3 linked regions of the Stegostoma tigrinum genome follow. The protein of the gene in region 2 purifies or fractionates together with the protein of the main gene of each other region. This does not show direct contact. Links are inferred from orthologs where the notes say so. Each region holds a gene or a part of one and is shown on either strand. Other genes may lie near its edges.

Evidence for each region.
Region 1: the proteins of shc1 (region 2) and crk purify together in Homo sapiens (affinity purification with western blotting; 3 studies listed by BioGRID and IntAct, with this or other methods). This does not show direct contact. The link is inferred for Stegostoma tigrinum from reciprocal best matches to the Homo sapiens genes SHC1 and CRK.
Region 3: the proteins of shc1 (region 2) and AP-2 complex subunit mu purify together in Homo sapiens (affinity purification with mass spectrometry; 3 studies listed by BioGRID and IntAct, with this or other methods). This does not show direct contact. The link is inferred for Stegostoma tigrinum from reciprocal best matches to the Homo sapiens genes SHC1 and AP2M1.

What each region holds. Positions count from the first base shown.
Region 1 is NC_081380.1:46,981,493-46,989,278, forward strand, and holds the start of crk (adapter molecule crk), read right to left. Parts: upstream 3,023-7,786; 5' UTR 2,663-3,022; coding exon 1,886-2,662; intron 1-1,885. UniProt on the Homo sapiens protein: Involved in cell branching and adhesion mediated by BCAR1-CRK-RAPGEF1 signaling and activation of RAP1.
Region 2 is NC_081400.1:5,339,123-5,346,293, forward strand, and holds the start of shc1 (SHC-transforming protein 1), read left to right. Parts: upstream 1-4,150; 5' UTR 4,151-5,059; coding exon 5,060-5,578; intron 5,579-7,171. UniProt on the Homo sapiens protein: Signaling adapter that couples activated growth factor receptors to signaling pathways. Participates in a signaling cascade initiated by activated KIT and KITLG/SCF.
Region 3 is NC_081367.1:59,678,243-59,685,390, forward strand, and holds the start of AP-2 complex subunit mu, read left to right. Parts: upstream 1-4,126; 5' UTR 4,127-4,239; intron 4,240-7,148.

The sequences.
Region 1 (7,786 bases), on a different chromosome or scaffold from region 2:
ACCAAGCGGAGGCTTGGGGACCGCTTTGCAGAACACCTCCGCTCAGTTCGCAACAAACAACTGCACCTCCCAGTTGCAAACCATTTCCACTCCCCCTCCCATTCTCTAGATGACATGTCCATCATGGGCCTCCTGCACTGCCACAATGATGCCACCCAAAGGTTGCAGGAACAGCAACTCATTTCGCCTGGGAACCCTGCAGCCATATGGTATCAATGTGGACTTCACCAGTTTCAAAATCTCCCCTTCCCCTACTGCATCCCTAAACCAGCCTAGTTCGTCCCCTCCCCCCACTGCACCACACAACCAGCCCAGCTCTTCCGCCCCCCCACCCACTGCATCCCAAAACCAGTCCAACCTGTCTCTGCCTCCCTAACCGGTTCTTCCTCTCACCCATCCCTTCCTCCCACCCCAAGCCGCACCCCCATCTACCTACTAACCTCATCCCACCTCCTTGACCTGTCCGTCTTCCCTGGACTGACCTATCCCCTCCCTACCTCCCCACCTATCTTCTTTACTCTCCATCTTCGGTCCGCCTCCCCCTCTCTCCCTATTTATTCCAGTTCCCTCTCCCCATCCCCCTCTCTGATGAAGGGTCTAGGCCCGAAACGTCAGCTTTTGTGCTCCTGAGATGCTGCTTGGCCTGCTGTGTTCATCCAGCCTCACATTTTATTATCTTGGAATTCTCCAGCAACTGCAGTTCCCATTATCTCTGATCTCTATAAAACTAGTGCTCTCTGGTTACAGATCTTTCTGACATTGGAGACAGTAACGACTGCAAGTGCTGGAAGCTAGAATCAATAAATGTGGAGCTGGAAAAGCACAGTCAGACAGCATCCAAGGAGCAGGAAAGTCAACATTTTGGACCGAAGCCCTTCATCAAACCCATCCTAATGGAGGGTCTCTGCCCGAAACGTTGACTTTCCTACTCCTGGGATGCTGTCTGACTGGCTGTGCTTTTCCAGCTCCACATTTTCTGACAAGGAAACTGTTTCATCCTTATCTATTCAATCCAAATCATTTGGGATTGTAAGCACACAAATCACAAGGAAAACAATCCAGTTTTCCTCACATCATCATCCCTAGTATCATTCCAGTTAAGGCAACATTTTGATTTTAAAATTCGGATCTGTGTGTTCAGCCCAAAGCAGCACTGCCTTCTAAATTCTAAAAACTTCCCGAGTTCAACAAACCTGAGATTCACAATCTTGGCATTTCCCTTGTTCCTGATTTTAATTGGTCCACTACTGGTGGTTGTGCCTTCAACAGTTGAGGCCTGTGTGTTTTGGATATCCACCCTGCTAAATTTGCTCCTATTTAAATTCACCTCCAACAAAAATTGTCATCTGTTCTAATATCATCTCATAACCCATTGTCAAATCAGGTCTAACAATTGCGTGCCTTGGAATGTTTTATAAGCAAAGGCACCAGATTCCCCATATCCCTCACTTTCTTTTTTTAAAAAAAGGACAATCTCAGCTTTTCAACACTGCGCTCAATATTGATACAGTATCCCTAACAGCCCAAGTTGTTTCACGAGTGTTATCAAATAAAAAAGCTTAACACTAATCAAAATCAGATTTTCAAGCAGAATAAAAGCAAAATGTGAGGCTAGAAATCTGAAAAAAAAAACAAAGCGCTAGAAAAATTCAACAAGCCCAGCAGCATCTGGCGTTAACGTTTCACGTCCAATAGGACTTCTCTTTAAAACCAGGGCAGAACGCTGAAAGTTCTTAATCTTACATTACTTATCATCGACTTTTTCACCGTCTTCGGATATTTGCCTTCCTTCCCCAAGTATAGCGACCAGCAATACTCGAATACCCAGACTGACAGAGCACTGCTGAAAAGGGGGAGGAAACGGAATGGACCACAAGGCACCTACCTCCAGAGCCAGGGCCGTCTTATCATAGGCATTGGGGACACGCTTCTGGAAGGCCCGGGCATACACCGGCCCGTTCTGGAGGTTGGGCAGCGAGGCACTGACACTAGGCTGGGCATAGGGCCCGAACTCAGGCTGCCCAACTCCGCCAACCCCCGGCGAGGGCTGGTGCTGGGCCGCTAACGCCTGGCCGCCCTCCGGGCTGTTAGCCGGGCCGAGCAGCGAGCTGGGCCGGCATTTCTCCACGTAAGGCACGGGGATCATGCCGCAGCGGCCTTCGCTGTTCTGCGCGTTCCACCACTGATCCTCGGGCTTGTCCAGGATGCGGAGCACGTCGCCCTTGCGGAACGGCAGGTCCTCCTCGTCGTTGCCGGGGAAGTCGAAGAGGGCGCGGACAAAGTGGGCCTCCTCAGACGGGACGCTGTTGGTGGGGATGTAGGCGGCGTTGGGCCTGTGGACAGGCTCCAGCAGGGTGGTGGTGTCCAGGTAATGGATCTTGTAGAACTCCAGCAGGCCGTGCAAATTCTCGAACTCCTGGTCGCCAATGCGGTAGCGCCCGGGCCCGGGGCCTGGGCCTTGCTGCTGCCGGCTGTTGATGATATAATGCGACACCTTCGAGTTCTCGCTGACACTCAGCACGTAGTCCCCTGGGATGGTGCGACTGTCCCTCACCAGGAAAGTGCCGTGCTTTTGGCCCATCAGCAGAGACACGGCTTGGTCCCGCCTCATGGGACCGAAGTACCAACTCTCTTGCTTCTGGGCGTCGAAATTAGCCGCCATGTCCCTCAGTGTGCTCTACCCGGGCCGGGCTACTCTCAGCTCCGCTCTGCCTGCCCAGCGGTGCCGGCAGCGGCCTACTCGCCGCCTAGGCCTCAGGCCTCCCTTCACAACACACTAAACTAAAGAAAATATAAAGTCCCCGGGCGGCAAACAGACGCGTGTTTACTTCATAAAATCCGTCCCCCCGCGTCAGTTCTCAGATCGGCCGCCTCTTGTTTGTGAAACTTATATTTTTTTTCCCCTCTCACTGTAAATCTGTTGGAAAATAGCGCGCGAGAACAGCGGAATCGTTAACTGCGCCCGACCCTTTTAGCCGATTTCTATCCGCCGACTTTTGATTAGGGCGTTTGTTCTCTAAAAGGGACCGCCCCACTGCGCACGCGCACTCCCTGGAGTGAGGTCGGGTGGAGAGAGAGAGAGGGCGAGCGCTGACCCCACCACTCGGAAGGGCAGCTCGTGGCGATGGGAATAGCCGTCTGCCATCTTGGTGAGGTCGTGTTGGACTCCCTTCTTGTGCTAGAGGGTCCAGCAATATCCAATTGCACCGACATGGCGCCTGCAACCCAGTCAACCAGGGGTGGTCCCGGGGCTGCAGATCATCAAACAAAATTGAAACAAAGAACTGCGGACGCTGAAATCCGAAACAAACAAAAACAAGAAATTGCTGGAGAAACTATGTAGGTCTGCCAGCGTCTGTGAAAAGAACACAAAGTCAATGTTTCGAGTCCAGTGAGCTTTCTTCAATATCATACGAAAATTTTATATTGAAACACCTGAACATGATTCAAGGGAGGATTACCAAACAAAGATTTTGGTACTGAAGCACTGAAAGACATTAGTTTGATACTCAGGTAGGGCCGTAGGGCCTGAGGACTGAGGGGTGGTGGAGAAGTTTAGGGCACTGATTCATAGAATCACACAGTATCGATGAGGTGCTTTGGTCCATTGAGTCTGTACTGTCAAAATATGCTAGTACCTATACTAGTCCCGTAATCAAGCAGTAGGCCCACAGCCTTCTATGTTATGACACTTCAGTTGTTCATTAAACTACTTTTTTAAAGGTTGTGAGCCTTTTGGCTTTTCACTTTAAAATTATGGTGCCTTGTTCTTAATTCCACTTGATACTTTCTCTCTGTCCACCCTCTCCATATCCTTCATGGTCTTATACACCCAGATACAGACTCGTCAACTTTCACTACTCCAAATAAAATAGCCTGAACTTATCCAGCCTTCCTTCATAGCTGAAGTGCTCTATCCAAGGCATCATCCTGGTGAATATCCCTAGGTTAATTACATAGCATTCACATCAAAATTAATGAAATAGTTTGTTTCTTTTTGTGAATGTATCGATAGGGCGGTCATGCGAATATGTAGATATGTTGGACTAAGGCAAATCCACATTATGCAGCCTGGACAGAGCTGATAGCAAAGCTACCAGGTGGATCAATTAAAATTAGGATGTTCAAGCAACAGAATTGAGGACCCAGGAGAGATGGAGGGACAATACCATGGAGGAATTCAGAAATAATAATGATTTGTTTTTAGACCATATATTAGGCCATACGGCCCATCAAGGTTGTTCTACCAAGTAATCATGGCTGATATGCTCCTCAACCCCATTCTCCTGGTTTCTCCCCGTAACCCTTGATCCCTTACCAATCAAGAATTTATCTATCTTTGTCTTAGATATGCTCGATGACTTGGCCTCCACATCCCTGTGTGGCAATGATTGCTGCAGATTAACAACCATTTGACTGAAGAGTTCCATCTCATCTCAGCTCTAGATGCCCCTACATGCTGAGACTGTGTCCTGGGTTCCTAATGTCTCCTAAAAGTGGAAGCATGTTTTTCGCAATTACTGTATCCAGGCCTCATTACCAATCAGATCCCCCCTCGATTTTCTAAATTCAATCAAGTACAGGCCCAGAGTCCTCAACCACTCCTCATTATGACAAGCCCTTCATTATTGGGATCATTATTGTAAACCTTTTTTGTACCACCTCCAACATCAGCACATCCTCCTTTAGATACGAGGAAGGAAACTGCCCACAATATTCCAAATGCAGTCTGGCCTGAACCCGATACAGCCTCGGCAGTACATCTCTTGCTCTTGTATTCTAGCCCTCTGGAAATGAATGTTCACATTGCATTTGCCCTCCCCACTGCCAAGTGAACCCACATATTAACTCTTAAAGAGAATCCTGAACGAGGACTTCCAAGTCTTTCTGTCTCAGATTTCCAAAAGCCTTTCCATATTTAGGAAATAGTCAATGCCTCTATTCTTCCTTCCAAAGTGCACAATTACATTTTCCCACATTGTATTCCATCTGCCAATTCTTTCAACACTAGCTTATCCAAGTACTTTTGCATCCTCCCTGATTCCTCAGCACTACCTATCCTTCCACCCATCTTTGTGTCATCTGCAAATATAACAACAATGCCCTCAGCTCCTTTGTTCAGATGATTAACATATGATGTGATTCTGTGATCTCAACATGAAACCATGCAGAACTCCAGTAGTCACCAGCTTCCATCCTGGAAAAGACCCCTTTATCCCTTGCCTCTGCCTTCTGTAAGTCAGACAATCCGCTGCCCCTTCAGCCTCACTAGTCCTTACCAACCGTGTTTCCGAAACTGAACTAGTTCCATTTGTCTATATAAATAAAAACCAAAAGAACTGCAGATGCTGTAAATCAGGAACAAAACCAGAAGTTGCAGGAAAAGCTCAGCAGGTCTGGCAGCATCTGCGAAGAGAAAATCAGAGTTAATGTTTTTGGTCCCATGACACTTCCTTAGAACTGAGTTCTAAGAAAGGGTCACAAGACCTGAAACATTATCTCTGATTTCTCTTCACAGATGCTGCCAGACCTGCTGAGCTTTTCCTGCAACTTCTGGTTTTGTTCCCGTTTGTCTGTGTTTGGCCACATTGCCCTCTAAACCTCCCCTATTCATGTACCTGTCCAAAGGTCTTTTTAAAAATGTTGTAACTGTACTTGCCTCTACCACTCCCTCTAGCAGCTCATTCTATATATGTACCACCCTCTGTGTGAAAAAGCTGCCCCTCAAGGTCCCTTCTGCGTCTTTCCCCTCTCACCTTAAACTTCTGCCCTCTGGTTTTGGACTCCCAAACCTTGGGGAAAAGACTTGGCCTATTTACCTTATCAATGACTCTCATGATATTATAAACCTCTATAAGTCATCTATCAGCCTTCTACACTCCATTGAAAATAGCCCCAGCCTATTCAGCCTCTCCCTATAGATCAAACCCTCCAGACTTGGTAATATCCTTGTAAATCTATTTTACACCTCTCAAGTTTAATAATATTCTTCCTATAGCAGGATGACGAGAATTATGCAGAGTGCTATTGTTATGAAGGAGTGGTCAAACCCCTCTGATAATTAAAACCAAAACCTCAGAGAAGCTTGCCTCACTTCATAATCTGTTAAACGAAATGCGAAAATTAGTATAACCTGCCTCTCACCTCCCAATCTGTCATAAAGGAGAGGTGAAAGTAAGATGAACTTCCGACATTCACTCACAATCAACAAGTAACAATTTATCTAACTCCAACAGTTAACAAATTAACAGAACTACTAACAAATTGAACAATTCACCCCTTAACTACAAACTATTCCCAAATAAGACAAAATTCTAATGGTAAGCTGCTCTAATTGATACATGTCCCACTTAGAAACCAAATTAATAAAAACAATTAAAGCTTAATCTCTCAAATTTACAGCCAGGATACACCTTCCAGATGCTCCACACCCTCTGAACTGATTCTCCACCAGGAATGCCTTTCGCTGTCAAATTCTGGTAAAATGCTACTGTACCTTTAATTAGATGATGGGTTTTTTTTCTGAGAGCTGATAGAATTCCATGAGAGCCAGTGTTTCTCTTTAGAGCTTATGGGTTGTTATTTCTCTTAGATGGCAGTTGCTCTTACCCTGATTTTCAAATACCCTCTTCTTTTATACTTCTGATGACCTGTTAATTTCTTATAATAAAATTGGTCCAAGGTTGTCAAAACCATTAGATTGGGGCCTAGTTTAAATTAATTGGATAAATTTCAAAGCCTGTTGATTAGTAAAAGATGCTGCTTTTCCTGCAGATATACCCACAATATACCCCCTCAATACAAATGTTTCCCTTCAGGAACTCTCTGTGCAGCTGTGCTGCTTGCAGACTTTTAAAATCTCCAAGCCTAGGAAAAACACACATCTATTTTTAAAGGAATATGCACTTTTCCCTCTTATCAATTTACAAACTTAAAAAAATCTAACATCCTGCCTTTTAATCCATCAATAGTATGCCCAATTTTGCAACACATCCCCCTCAGAAAAAAATGAACAATCATAATGAAAAATGGCTTCATTCTTTCTTCTTTTTTATCTAAACCTTAACACCACTATTACTCTATCCATAGCTCATTAATCCTGTGTTACACTTTTCATACTAATTCTGTATACATACATAACATTGAACACTAACGTTTCTATCTTATACACATTTTTCTTTTAAACCCAAAATAACGCTTCCGCAGTAACATTTTCACGACCTGTAACTTGTACAATATGTAAATTAAATGCTTGTATCATAAGGCTAAACAAAATAGGCTAGTGTTCTGGCCCTTAAATCTCACCAAAAATGTCAAATTGTTGTGGTCAGAGTACACGACTGTCTCCAAGACATTGTTTGCAATGTAAACATGAAAATGTTGTAATGCCAATAACTATTTTTAAATGGCTAAGTATTTTCTCTGGTGGATATTGAGTTTCTTTGAACAATAACTGATTGGCCTTTCAATTCCACAATCATCCTCCTGGAACAACACATCTCCGACGCTTACATTGTTTGTGTTGATGGTGACTTTAAAGGCTTTGAAGAAATTTGGTGCGGCTAAAACTAGTGTGGTAGCTAACGTAGCTTTTAAATTCTCAAATGCCTCCTGTCCTTGTTCTGTCCACCGAAATTTCATCTTCTCCTTTAACAAACTCCTCAGCGGTACCACCATGCTACTGAAATTTGGTGGAGATTTCCTGTAGAATCCGCTCAGTTCCGAAAGCGTAGCATTTCCTTCTTCGAGGATGGTCTTGGATATTCCTCATTGGCCTTCGTCTTCA
Region 2 (7,171 bases):
TTTGGTTCGCTCAGTGGGGCTTGAGGAGATTGAGATCTTTTTTTTTCACAGCGAGACAGTTTGAGGGTGAATTAAGTTAATTAGACTCACTGCCTGTTTGTCCAATGTAGTGTTTGTCACAGTTCTTGCAAGGTATTTTGTAGGGGAGTGTGGTTATGGTTTCTGGGCCCGTTTTGTCTGTTTGTTTGGGTTTGTTGCTGAGAAATCGGTGGACTGTGTTCATAGGATACCCATTCTTTTTGAATACGCTGTACAGGTGATTTTCCTCTGCTCTGCGTAGTTCCTCGGTGCTGCAGTGTGTGGTGGCTCGTTGGAATAATGTTCTAATGCAGCTTCGTTTGTGGGTGTTGGGATGGTTGCTCCTGTAGTTCAGTATTTGGTCCGGATGTGTTGTTTTCCTGCAGACGCTGGTTTGAAGTTCCCCATTGGCTGTTCGCTCTACTGTGACATCTAGGAATGGCAGTTTCTTATTGTTTTCCTCCTCTTTTGTGAATGTTACGCCAGTAAGGGTGTTATCCTTTTTTCTGATGAAGGGTCTAGGCCCTAAACGTCAGCTTTGGTGCTCCTGAGATGCTGCTTGGCCTGCTGTGTTCATCCAGCTCCATACTTTGTTATCTTGGATCCTCCAGCATCTGCGGTTCCCATTATCTCTGGTTTGCGATTACAAACTGGTTCAACCGAACGGAGTGTTTCTGTTCTGCAGGACATGTAGCATTGCTGAGCAGCTGCAATTCTGTGACACATGTGGCAAAGTTTCTGACTGGTTACTAAAAATAGTGTGGGGTGTCACTGAACAGGACTTTAAAGGTGACAGGCAACGTGACTAGAAGACAGTGTGCGTGTGATAGTGAGACGGAAAGAGAGAGAGAGGCATGCTCCAGTTCAGGAAGGGCTACTGTAAGCTCTGCTGCAAAAGGAACTGAATCACCGAAGCTCAATGTTGCTGGGGCTCAGGGAAGTCTTTGTCACCCCCTCCAGCCCCCTACACCCCCTCCCTATCTCTGTGCCCCCCTCCAACCCCCTACACCCCCTCCCTATCTCTGTCACCCCCTCCAGCCACTTACACTCCCTCCCTATCTCTGTCACCTCCTCCAGCCTCTACAACACAACCCTCGCCCCCCCCCCCCACCAAACTCCTTATCCCCATGTCCCCCATGGCAAGTCCACACTAACCTGCATATTTTAGCACGGCCAACCCACCCTAACCCGCACATCCCTGGGCACTACGAGACAATTTAGCACGGCCAATCCACCCTAACCCGCACATCTCTGGGCACTACGGGACAATTTAGCACGGCCAATCCACCCTAACCCACACATCCCTGGGCACTATGGGACAATTCAGCACGGCCAATCCCACCCTAACCCGCACATCCCTGGGCACTACGGGACAATTTACCACGGCCAAGCCACCCTAACCCGCACATCCCTGGGCACTACGGGACAATTTAGCACGGCCAATCCACCCTAACCCGCACATCCCTGGGCACTACGGGACAATTTAACACGGCCAATCCCACCCTAACCTGCACATCTTTGGACTGTGGGAGGAAACCAGAGCACCCGGAGGAAACCCACACAGACACGGGGAAAATGTGCAAACTCCGCACAGTCAGGAGGGTGTGTTCGAACCCGGGTCCCTGTTGCCATGAGGCAGCAGTGCTAACCACTGAGGAGAAATTGAGCGGTTTAGTTGGATTCTCTCTGGTTTTGAGAGGAATGAAAGGAGGTCTAATTGAGGCGAAACAGACATGAAAGGAGGTTGATAAAGTAGATGTGGAGCAGATGTTTCTCCTTGTGGGGCAGCCTTGAATGAGAGGCCAAGGGTTTAGAATAAGTTTTAAAACAGAGATGAGGAGGACCGTCATCTGACGAAGGAAATCTGTGGGGCTCAGGTACGCAGAGAGCAGTGAATGCTGGAACGCTGAGTAAGTTGAAGGAGGAGATTAGCTTGTTTAACTCAATTTATTGGCAACAGGTTGCAGGGAGCGTGCAGGGCAGTGGTGTTAAGGCCAAGTTGAGATCAGCCATGATTGTGTTGAATGGCAGAACATCCATAAACGGGCTGAACGATCTGCTAGTTACTGTGTTCTAGTGTAAGTAGAGTCAGCTGAAACATTTCCCTGCTCAGTTCAGTTCCAAAAAAATTAATTGGATCACTTTCTGCGGAGGGACATTGGCAGCGCTAAAGGTGGGGTGCAGGGAGCTAGTATTGTCACGCCGGGACGAACGGCCTCGCCTTGTGCTGTGACCAAAGGACGGCCTTTCTGAGAAAAAGTAACTGGTCCAGTCTGCTTTCTCCTTGTATGTTCTTTCCACGTTCAAATTTCGATTGTCGGGAAAAACCCGTGTGGTTCACCAACACCCTTTAGGGAAGGAAACTGCTGTCCTTACCTGGTCTGGCCTACACTGTAGGGCTGGAAGAACACAGCAGGCCAAGCAGCATCTTAGGAGCCTTCCTAGACCCTTCTAGGCTCGAAACATCAGTTTTCCTGCTCCTGAGATGCTGCGCTACCTGCTGAGTTCTTCCAGACCCACAGCAATGTGGTTGACCCTGAAGTACCCAGCTGCTGACCATAATCATAGTCCTTGTGCCGTTTCCCCTGTTCCTGACCCCCTATCCCTTCCCTATTCATGTCCTTATTCAAATGTCTTTTTAAACATTGTACCAGTGTCTGCTTCCATCGCTTCCCCAGCCGTTCATTCCACACACGAACCGTTCTCTGTGTTTTAAACAAAAGGTTGCCCCTCGTGTCCATTTTAAATCTTGCCCCTCTCACCTTAAACCCATGTTCCTCTGCCTTTGGTAACAATGTGTAGGGCTGGAAGAACACAGCAGGTCGAGCAGCATCTTAGAAGCCTTCCTGGACCCTTCTAGGCCCGAAACGTCAGCTTTCCTGCTCCTGAGATGCTGCGCGGCCTGCTGAGTTCTTCCAGCCCCACACTTTGTTATCTCGGATTCTCCAGCATCTGCAGTCCCTGTTATCTCCTCTGCCTTTGGACTCCCCTACCCTCGGCGGGGAAAAGACCTTGGCTATTCACCTTATCTGTGCCCCTCACGATTTTATAAACCTCCAAAAGGCTTATAAGCTCAGCCTCCAGTGAAGAAAGGTCCCAACCTAACCAGGCTATTTTTATACCTCAGGCCTTCCATTCCTGGCAACATCCTGTTGTATCTTTTCTGAACCCTCTCCAGTTTAACAATATCCTTCCTATAACAGGGTGGGCAGCACTGGACGTTGAAACAAAAGCTCGGAATTTCGACACAGCCTGAGGGGCTCGGGAATGCAAATAGAGGAATTAGGAGCAGGATTAAACAGTCAGTCCATCTCCTCGAGCCCCACTGTGCCATTCACAATCGTTTTAGCTGATCTCGTTACTCCAGATTCTCGCCTCTTCCCCCGACAGCTTCCCTCACCCCCATCTCGCTTCAGAAGACTATATCTACCCCGGTCTTAAAAATATTCAAACTCTCGGCTCCCACCGTCATGGAGTTACAGAGTCATTGAAACTCAAAACCTGGTGATGAGCCACTCCCTGTTTGAAGAGAGCGGCCCTGACTTTGAATCGGTGATTCCCCCCTTGTTCTGGATTCCTCCCCAAGAGGAAACATCCTGTCCACAAGCCCTCCCTGTCAAGGCCCCTCGGGATCTTAACGTTCACTCAAGACTGGCAGTGTTTGATGGAGGAAGGGGGGGAAACGGTGTAGAGGGAGCTTTACTCTGTATTTGACCCTGTGCTGGCCCTGATCTGGCAGTGTTGAATGAGGGGGTACAGTGTAGAGGGAGCTTTACTCTGTATCTAACCCCATGCTGTCCCTGGGAGTGTTTGATGGCGAGGGGGAAACAGTGTAGAGGGAGCTTTACTCTGTATCTAACCCCAAGCTGTCCCTGTCCCTGGGAGTGTCTGATGTGGGGGAAACAGTGTAGATGAGGCTTTACTCTGTATCTGACCCTGCGCCGTCCCTGTCCCTGGGAATGTTTGAGGGGGTGGGGGGTGGGTGGACTGTGTCGCTGGGGGGAGGGGGCGGTGAACCTTGCTGTGCATGGTGTTGCGATGGAATGTAAAGAATAGAGGGAAAATAGGCCAGGCCGGAGAACTTTCTGGAGGAGGCTGTGATGGTGAATTCCGAGGAACCAGGAGACCATCAACTGTTGTGCATGAATCAGCGAGTCTATTCTCATTGAGTTAATGTCCCCAAAGGCTATTAGCTGAACACTGCTGAAATAACGCATGACCACACATGCACACACTCTCTCTCTCTGCTCCTAAAAGCCCACTCAAGCTGCCTTCGCTCCTTCATTCATAAAACTTGCAGAAGCTGTCTGAGTAGCTTCTTGTCATTTTTTTCTGTCTCCTCCACCCACCTCTCTCTCTCTCTCTCTCTCTCTCTCTCTGTGCTGCTGAGTTCCCCTCCCATTCGAAGCCTGTAGCAGCTTCTGTCCAGGAGTCATGAGAACCCGGGCTGTAGCTCTCTGGCCTCTTTCGCCCTGCTGCTGATGGAGATGTCTCCTCATGGATTGACAGAGCCCACGAAACTCCGAGGCAACAGACAGTCCAGGAGTCAGCCCTGCCCTGTCCCTGTGGCTGTCAGGCCCTTGCATGGTTGTACACCGCTGTTGCCTGTCATCTCTTGTGTGTGTGTGTGTGTGTGTGTGTTGTCGGACCATGAACCCTGTTTCGATCAGTGCAGAGGGTCTGCATTCTGGACTGTACAAGTCTCCTCGAGAATTCAGCAGAAGTTTTTGCTTTTAATCTGAGCCAGAGGGACCGATCAGTTCACCTGACTCGGGAGGGGAGGGGGGAGGTGTGCAGCGAGCGACAGATTTTAAACATATTGCAAGAAATATTCCTTTCCCCGACACCCACCATTGCCCCAACCACATGCGAAAGCAAGCGTACTCCAGCCCTCGCAGGCCGTCGTGTGTTTGAGCCGTTTGCGAGCTGGCTGGTTCTATTCGTAGGGGAGTTAACAGCAGATCCGAAAGGGGGCTGGGTTCAGACCCAGGAGGAGGCCGGAGCATGAGAGAAGGTTTGCCCTCCCTGGGTGAGTACAGCCATGGATTTACTGCATAGGAATAAATACAGTCACTTACACAACGACAGCGCGTCTGAGGCCGTCCATGGGGAGGCGCTGGTCCCTCCTTCCTCCTCCTCCTCCTCCCTGGCTCCTATACTGCCCCATGATGGGGGGGAGCTGTCCTCAGGGGCGGAGGACAGCCCCACCACCCTGTGCTCCTTCTTCCCGAGGATGGGTAACCTGAAACTCGCGAACCCGGCGAGCCTGCTGCAGTCGAAGGGGTTCCCCGGGGAAGCGACGACGGTGCCAGCCCCGGGCAGCGTGAGGCCTGGTGACTCAGGAGCTGTGCCCATCTTCTCTCCCTCTCGGCAGGACATGAACAGGCTGGGCTGCGGAGGAGGAGGAGGTGGAGGAGGAGGTAAGAAGACACGGGTGGAGGGCGGCCAGCTGGGAGGAGATGAGTGGACCCGGCACGGTAGCTTTGTGAACAAACCCAGCCGTGGCTGGCTTCACCCAGACGACAAGGTGATGGGGCCTGGCGTCTCCTACCTCATACGGGTGAGTGCCTCTGAGACTCTTCTGTGTAATACCATTCCCTCCCTCCCTCCCCAAACCCTCTGCAGCGTCTCAACTGCCCCCCTCCAGCTTCTCCTACATTGCCTGCTGTACTTCAGTTGCCCCTGCACCCCCTCCCACGTAACACCCCACTGCCTCCTCGTCTGCACCCCCTTCCCGATTTCCCCCCACTGCCTCCTCGTCTGCACCCCCTCCCACTTACACCGCACTGCCTCGTCGTCGGCACCCCCTCCCGATTTCCCCCGACTGCCTCCTCGTCTGTACACCCTCTCAATTGCCCCCCATTGACCTCCCGTCTGCACCCTCTCTCAATTACCCCCCACTGCCCCCGCGGCTGCACTCTCTCTCAATTACACACCCGCCCCCTCGGCTGCACCCTCTCTCAACTACCCCCCACTGCCCCTTCGGCTGCACTCTCTCTCAATTACACACCCGCCCCCCTCGGCTGCACCCTCTCTCAATTACCCCGCTGCCCCCTCGGCTGCAACCCCTCTCAATTGTCCCCCACTGACCTCCCGTCTGCACCCTCTCTCAATTAACCCCCACTGACCCCTTGGCTGCACCCCCTCTCAATTACCCCCCGCTGCCCCCTCGGCTGCAACCCCTCTCAATTGTCCCCCACTGACCTCCCGTCTGCACCCTCTCTCAATTAACCCCCACTGACCCCTCGGCTGCACCCCCTCTCAATTACCCCCCACTGCCCCCTCGGCTGCACCCCCTCTCAATTACCCCCCACTGCCCCCTCGGCTGCACCCTCTCTCAATTTCCCTCCACTGACCCCTTGTCTGCATCCTCTCTCACTTGCCCCCACAGCTTCCTCTTCTGCACCCTTTCTCAAAAGCCCCCCCACTGCCGTCTTGGCTGCACCCTCTCTCAATTGCCCCCCAACTGCCCCCTTGGCTGCACCCTTTCTGCTGGTTCTCCCTTCTTAGCTACACCCTGTTAATGCCTCCCTCCCCCACCGTCTCTCATTTCTTCCCTGCTCCCTTTCAGTCCCAACCCCCGGACCGTAAATGTTTCTCTCCACCCCAGTCATTTCCCCTGCACTAAACTCTGGCCAGTCTGTGGCAACTCACTCTCTGCCTAAATAAGCATGAGCTCTGAACAAACATTCCTGCTGACTGCAGTGCACTGTTTCACAGAACAGTTAGCATCCTGTCTCCTGTTCACACTCTGGATGTGAGCGTCTGCCTTGCCCTCTGTCTCCATGTCGATAATTTCTCTCTCTCTCTGACTCTGTCTGTCTCTCTCTCTCTCACTCTGTCTGTCACTCTCTCTCTCATTCTGTCTGTCTCTCTCTCACTCTGATCTGTTGTCTCAGCCTGTTTGTCTTCTTCTATCTCTTGCTGCCTCTCTCTCTCTTTCTCTCACTAGCTTTCTTTCCTCGCTGTCTGTCTCCCCTGCAGTCGCTCCCCTGTCGCTCTCTCACTCTCTGTCTCCCCTGCAGTCAGTCGCTGTCTCACTCTCTGTCTCCCCTGCAGTCTGTCGCTGTCTCGCTGCCTGTCTCCCCTGCAGTCTGTCGCTGTCTGTCTCCTCTGCAGACTGTCGCTGTCACACTCTTTCTCCCCTGCAGTC
Region 3 (7,148 bases), on a different chromosome or scaffold from region 2:
TAGCACTCTAGCAGCACACAAGAGACCAACATATATACAAGTCAAAACAGGTACAAAGTCTAGGTCTCAGGAATGCCACACTGTCACCAAATCCAAGAAGGATTGTAAAATCACCCATAAGTTTTACATATTCTTAAAATCCCCTACAGTGCAGAAAGAGGCCTTTCAGCCCATCAATATGCACTGACCATCCAAAGAACCTCCCCCCACCCGATCCATGTAACTCTGCATTTACCATGGCTAATCCAACTAGCCTGCACATTCGTAGTCACTATCGGTTCACATGGGCAACCCACCTAACCTGAACATCTTTAGATGGTGGGAGGAAATTAGACCATCCAGAGGAAACCCATGTTGACACAAGGAGAATGAGCAAACGCCACGCAGACAGTCGCCAAATGCTGGAATCAAACCCAGGTCTCTGGTATTATAAGACAGCAGTGCTAACCACTGAGCCACCATGCTGCCCAGAATAGTAAACCTGCAAATCTTTCATTTCTTGTTTCTTTGTAAATAGCTTTGCAACTAATTTATTCATACTTTCATTATTAGTACGTATCTTCTTTCCTTGGAAAGAAAGGGAATACTGTGTTGCTGTTTTAACTGCTGGGTATGCTAAAAACCAAAGGACCATGATGACACCACATGATGAACAGCTGTGAGTCCAAGCAACAGCTTGGCAAAAGGCATCTGATTTGATGAGGCGCTGCGTTAAGATATGACATCCACCTTGTGTTAGGCAATGTCCATCTGAAGTTGAAGAAGCCACAACCACGTTATCATAACAGCCATTTGTAGCAAAGAAACTAAGGAAATGGATATGTCAGAAAGTATCCAGCTGACCTTCTTCAAAAGAACTGAAGCACCATTGAGGTCAGGCAAACTTGAGAAACAGTAGATAATCTTCAAAAGATGGACTAAAGAGAGTGTAGAACCATCATCAGGTGGCAGAGAGGAGCCAACAAAGAATGATGGATCTCTGACCCAAGCTGTAAGTTGCTTGATGAAAGAGCATTAGAGAAGAGCAAGAAAGACCTGGAAATACTATTTGAACAAAAACAAAAATTCAGCAAGAAGTACTGAAAACCAGATGAAGCATAAAACAGGTTCAACGCCGAGGAACAAAATCTCAAACATCAGCACTCTCAACACTGAGCCCCCAAGGATGTGTCCTCAGCCCCCTACCGTACTCTCTGTACACCTACGACTGTGTTGCCAAATTCCAAACAAACACCATCTACAAGTTCGCTGATGACACCACTGTAGTGGGATGGATATCTAAAACGACCAATCAAAATACAGAAGAGAGATAGAGGGTGACATGGTGCAATGAAAACAATCTGTCTCTCAACGTCAGCAAAACTAAAGAACGGATCATCATCTCAGAAAGAAAGGAGGAGATCACGGCTCCATCTACATCAACAGAACTGAGGTTGAGGGAGTGAACTGCATCAAGTTCCTCAGAGTGAGGACAACCGACCTCCCATCCTGGAATTCCACGTAAATGTAACAGTCAGGGAGGCACAACAATGCCTCTTCTTCCTCAGGCAGCTCAGGAAATTTGGCATGTCTATAGGGTCTGTCACCAACTTTTACAGATGCACCATTGAAAGCATTGTCTGGGTGCATAATGGCCTGGTACAGCAACTGCTCTGCACAGGAACTTAAGAAACTACAAAAGGTGGTGTGCATTGCCCAGACCATCATGGAAACCAACTTTCCATCCACGAACTCTATTTACATGACTTGCTGCTGTAGAAAGGCAGCCAACATCATCAAAGACCCATTGCATGCTGGTAATGACCTGCCACAACTTCGTCCAACAGGCAGAAGATATAGAAGCCTGAACGCACCCACAAGCAGATTCAGGAACAGAGATAGTAGGAACTGCATATGCTGGAGAATCTGAGATAACAAGGTGTAGAGCTGGATGAACACAGCAGGCCAAGCAGCATTGGAGGAGCAGTAAGGCTGCTAATGTGGTATACTGCAGCCGCTGTTCCCATTGTGGCCTCCTTTACATTGGCGAAATGAAGCGGAGCCTTGGGGACCGCTTTGCAGAACACCTATGCTCGATTTGCACTAAACAACTGCACCTCCCAGTCGTGAATCATTTCAATTCCCCATCCCATTCCTCAGACAACATGCCCATCCTGGGCCTCCTGCAATGCCACAATGATGCCACCCGAAGGTTGCAGGAACAGCAATTCATATTCCTCTTGGGAACCCTGCAGCCCAATGGTATCAATGTGGACTTCACAAGCTTCAAAATCTCCCCTTCCCCCACCGCATCGGAAAACCAACCCAGCTCGTCCCTGCATCTCTAACCTGTCCTTCCTCTCACCTATCCCCTCCTCCCACCTCAAGTCCCACCCCCGTCTCCTACCTACTAACCTCATCCCGCCCCCTTGACCTGTCTGTCCTCCCTGAACTGACGTATGTTCTCCCTTAACTGACCTATATCCTCCCTACCTCCCCACCTACACTCACCTTTACTGGCTCCATCCCTGCCTCTTTGACCTGTCTGTCTCCTCTCCACCTAGCTTCTCCTCTATCCATCTTCTATCCGCCTCTCCCTGTCTATCTGTTTATTTCAGAACCCCCTTCCCCTCCCCCATTTCTGAAGAAGGGTCTAGGCCCAAAACGTCAGCCTTCCTGCTCCTCTGATGCTGCTTGGCCTGCTGCGTTCATCCAGCTCTACACCTCGTTTTAGACAATAGACAATAGGTGCTGGAGTAGGCCATTTGGCCCTTTGAGCCATCACCACCAATCATTATATTCATGGCTGATCATCCACAATCAGTATCCTGTTCCTGCCTTATCCCCATAACCCTTGATTCCATTATCTTTAAGAGCACTATCTATCTCTTTCTTGAAAGTTTCCAGAGAGTTGGCCTCCACTGCCTTCTGGGGCAGAGCATTCCATATATCCACCACTCTCTGGGTGAAGAAGTTTTTCCTCAACTCTGTTCTAAATGGCCTACCCCTTATTTTTAAACTGTGTCCTTTGGTTCTGGACTCACTCATCAGCGAAAACATGCTTCCTGCCTCCAGAGTGTCCAATCCCTTAATAATCTTATACATCTCAATCAGATCCCCTCTCATCCTTCTAACCGCAAGTGTATACAAGCCCATTCGCTCCAATCTTTCAACATATGATAGTCCCACCATTCCAGGAATTGACCTCGTGAACCTACGCTGCACTCCCTCAATAGCCAGAATGCCCTTCCTCAAATTTGGAGACCAAAACTGCACACAATACTCCAGGTGCAGTCTCACCAGGGCCCTGTATAGCTGCAGAATGACCTCTTTGCTCCTATACTCAGATAGATCTCAGATTCAGGAATAGCTTTGTTTTTGGTCGTTATCGGACTGTTGAATGGACTCCAGCCTCAAAAATGTAATCTGCAATGTAACCTGTATGCCCGTTAGTCTTTTTGATCTGTTTTTCCTATACTTGCTGTGATCTGCTTGTACTGCTCATTAACAAAGCCTTTCATTGTATTTCAGTATATGTGACAATAAAAATCAAATCGTGATCAAAGTCAAAATCAGGAAGAACTGCAGGGGAGATAGAGTGATAGATGGATAGAGTTATGAGATGGGCATCCATTTTAGGATCAAAGAGGAATTTCTTCACTTAGATGATAGTAAATCTTTGGAAATATCTGCTCCAGGAAATTGTGGAATCTCAATCACTGAGTAAGCCTAAGACAGAGATAGATTTTTTCATTCTAATGCCATCAATGGGTGTTGAGATGATGTGGGAAAAATTGATGTAGATGCTTAGCCATGATATTGAGTGATGGTGGAGACTCCATCTGTTGTTTCTATTAACACCAGGTAAGAGACATCTTATAAGGGATAGGAAATCGTATATGTTACTGTGGGCTTAACAGCAGACTAACACTAAATTGACTAGTTCCCCTCTCACTGAAGTATTAGGTCACTGCTGGTAGGAGCCATTCTAATGTTTCTAAGTTAGCTGTTTCAAATCATTTCCCTTTGTTTACTGCAACCATACTGTCCTGGTGCTGCTTCTTTGGGACCATTCTCAGTGAGTGAGTGTGAGTGAATGAATGAATGAATGGGCGTGGACATTCACATGGAGCGGCTCGAGGTCACGTGACCCTCAGTAGACCGTGATGACGTCTAGGTCCTCATCATGTGACCCGCCGGGCAGCCGCGCTGAGGCAGGGCGACGGCGGACATTTTGTGAGGAGCCGGTAGAAACGGCGGGTAGGTGTGTTCGGGTCGGGTTGACAGTGGGCTCAGGCCACAGGTACCGGCTATCCTCCCGTAGCCTGAGGTGTAGAGGCCTCAGTGGCTGCAGACCTTAGAGTTGGCCGGGAAGGAAGCAAGGAGAAAAGAGGAAAGGGGGTGGCGGACATTTTGTGAGGAGCGGCCAGTCCCCACAACACCCACCCCGGGTTTCTTTTTGGGGGTACGGGGGCGGGGAGGAATAAGGATGGTGTTCGTGGGTGCGGTGGAGGAGGAATAACCCCCGACGGCAGTGTGCCGCTTGTGGGGATACCTGGCCTACAGATGCCCTGCACCCTTCCTGGAAGAGGATAGGGCAATGATGAAATATTATAACCCAACTCTCCCTGGTGTGGGTGTTGTACCACCTCAGTTCCAGGAGCGCAATTTGTTACGCTAATTAGCTCTCCTAATTCTGATTCCGAATTTCATGGCTGCATTCAGTACTGCAAGCAGCAATGTCAGAGAGGTGTCCTCCACTGGTAAACCACCACCCCCTCCACCCACCCCCTTGTCTGCTGCAATGGGTGCTCGGGTATCTGGCCATATTTCTCTGACTCCCCAAATCAATCACCTTTGAAAAGGAAAACCACGTTATCTGTTTGTACAGACCTTGCAATTGTGGGATCTGCCTGCCTCTTAAATTGGATTTTGAGTACCGTCCTTTAGATCCAAGTTGTCTGATCTACTCTAATAGCTTGACCTGAGAGGATTTATATTATGAGGCTATCAGCCCACCATATTTGCGTTGGCTTCGCTTCCTTGCTGTGGAAGTCTTATTTGTAGCTTGGTTGGTGAATTCAGTTTATAAATTAGTTTCTGGTTTGTAACAATGCCTTATGTAATTTTGTCTATTTGTGGCTTTGTCATTTGTGAATGATTTTACCTTGAGTGCTTTTTATTTGATTATTAGTTTAGAAATGCCAGAATTAGATTAATTCTGAAATAAGTTATGTAGTGTTATAATGTATGCTTTGTGGATATTTGATAGGCTAGTATTCTAGATCATATTGATCATTGTATTTATGTAAATGTAAAACTTTAGGTTTTCACTACCTACCTTTCCCTTTAGCCCATAAGTTTATTTTCTGTCTGGTCTTTAATAAGTTCTCTTTTAAATGCATGATTAAATATTCTTCTGCCATGTACTCAAGCAGTGCATTCTAAATCTGTTTTTTTTTGGATCTGGTCACTTTAAATCGGTGTCCTTGGGTTCTTCACACTTCTACCAATGGGAACAGTTTCTCCCTATTTGTTCTAAAACCTCTCAATTATCAAACTAACTTTGACTAAGCAGGTTGAAGTCTGCTTGGGGAACAAACTTGACCTCTGTAATTTACATCCTATCAAGCCCTATTAAGCAGAGAGAAGTGCATTCTATAAACTGAAATAAAGCTTACAGTTGAGATGTGGATTTTAATGTATTTATTAATTTAACAAAGTGAACAATGGTTTGGAACCCAAATTAATTTCAATATCTAGGCTGAATGTGATACATAAATGTCAGTACATTTTAAGCTATTTCCTGCCTATACTGTGTCACCGCAATGTCTTGGTGGTGGTTAACTCCATTAGCTGTTGACTTTTGGGGGGGGGGAGTGGAAAATACCTAATAATGTAACTTAGTTCACAGAATTGAATTTCACGTGAACTGGGTCGTGATGAGTGCAGACACTAGAAGCATGGTCATTCTCTTAATGCCTATCCATCTTGTGTTCATCCCACTTGAGATGCCACATTTTGTTGTATGTCCTATATTCTACGCAAAGAAAACCAATCGTTTCCTGTAGCCTGAAATTTAGCTTTTAAATTGAATAAATATATCAGTTGCATTGGGAGTGGACATACTTTATTCGAACATTGCCTTCTAAAGGAAATGCACCTGCTCAGAGCTGAGGTCCTGAACTAAGGTCTGAGCAATACCACAAGAGGCCCATTGTATCTTCCCCTCAAATGGCTGAATATGCTGACTGCTCGGTTTTCAGCTTTTGCAGAGTGCCTTTTTATTAGTTTAATTATGGATTTACATGTAATATGGATTATGTCAATTTGGGTTTTGAACTGTGTATTACCATCATGGAGTCCTTTTCAGGATGACATCAAATAAATTCAGATGCAGTACTGATGCAGTTGAACTGTACCTAAGATCATAGTTTTTTTCCTAATGCTTGTTATTGTCATGAACAGCGCTGCTCAATTTTGTTTTGATCTGGTTATAGAGTGCTAATGTTTTCAGTGTCAAGCAGGTACTGACATCCAAAGTTTAGGGAATAAATCCACATTCCATGGATTTGAATAAACAACACATTTTGTGACTGAAGGTTACAATATCCACAAGTGCCAGATTTCATTATGGAGGATTGCAGAAAAGCGTGATTTTAATGTATGCTGTATCAAGCCCAGTGTGATACTTAAGTCTGTTGACAAGCTGTTGGTCCAGTTAGAAACCATAGAAATGATAGAGCACAGAACAAGTCCGTTCAGCCCAACTTTTCATTCCAACCCAAATGCTGTTTTAAATCCCATCTTGCCTACATAGCTGTAGTTATGCAACTAACAGTACTTAAGATGTAGATGCAGAATACTTTTAGAAAGTGTTTAGAGTCTCTTTGTCACCTCCAACTTGGGCAGCAAACTTCAGACACCTACGACCTGCTGAGTTCTTAAAACATGGTTTTTCCTCCTTTGCATGCTAATTCTTCTGCCATTTATCTTAATCTTTGACTGCTGGTTTTTGAACTCTTCCAAAGGAAGTGAGTCTCTCCTGTCTACTCCATCTCTATCCCTCAATTTTGTATACCTTAATCATATCACTACTGAGCCTCCTTTGTTCCAAGGGAATCAACCCCAATCTCTCCATGCAGCTACAGTTCCCCAGCCCTGACAAC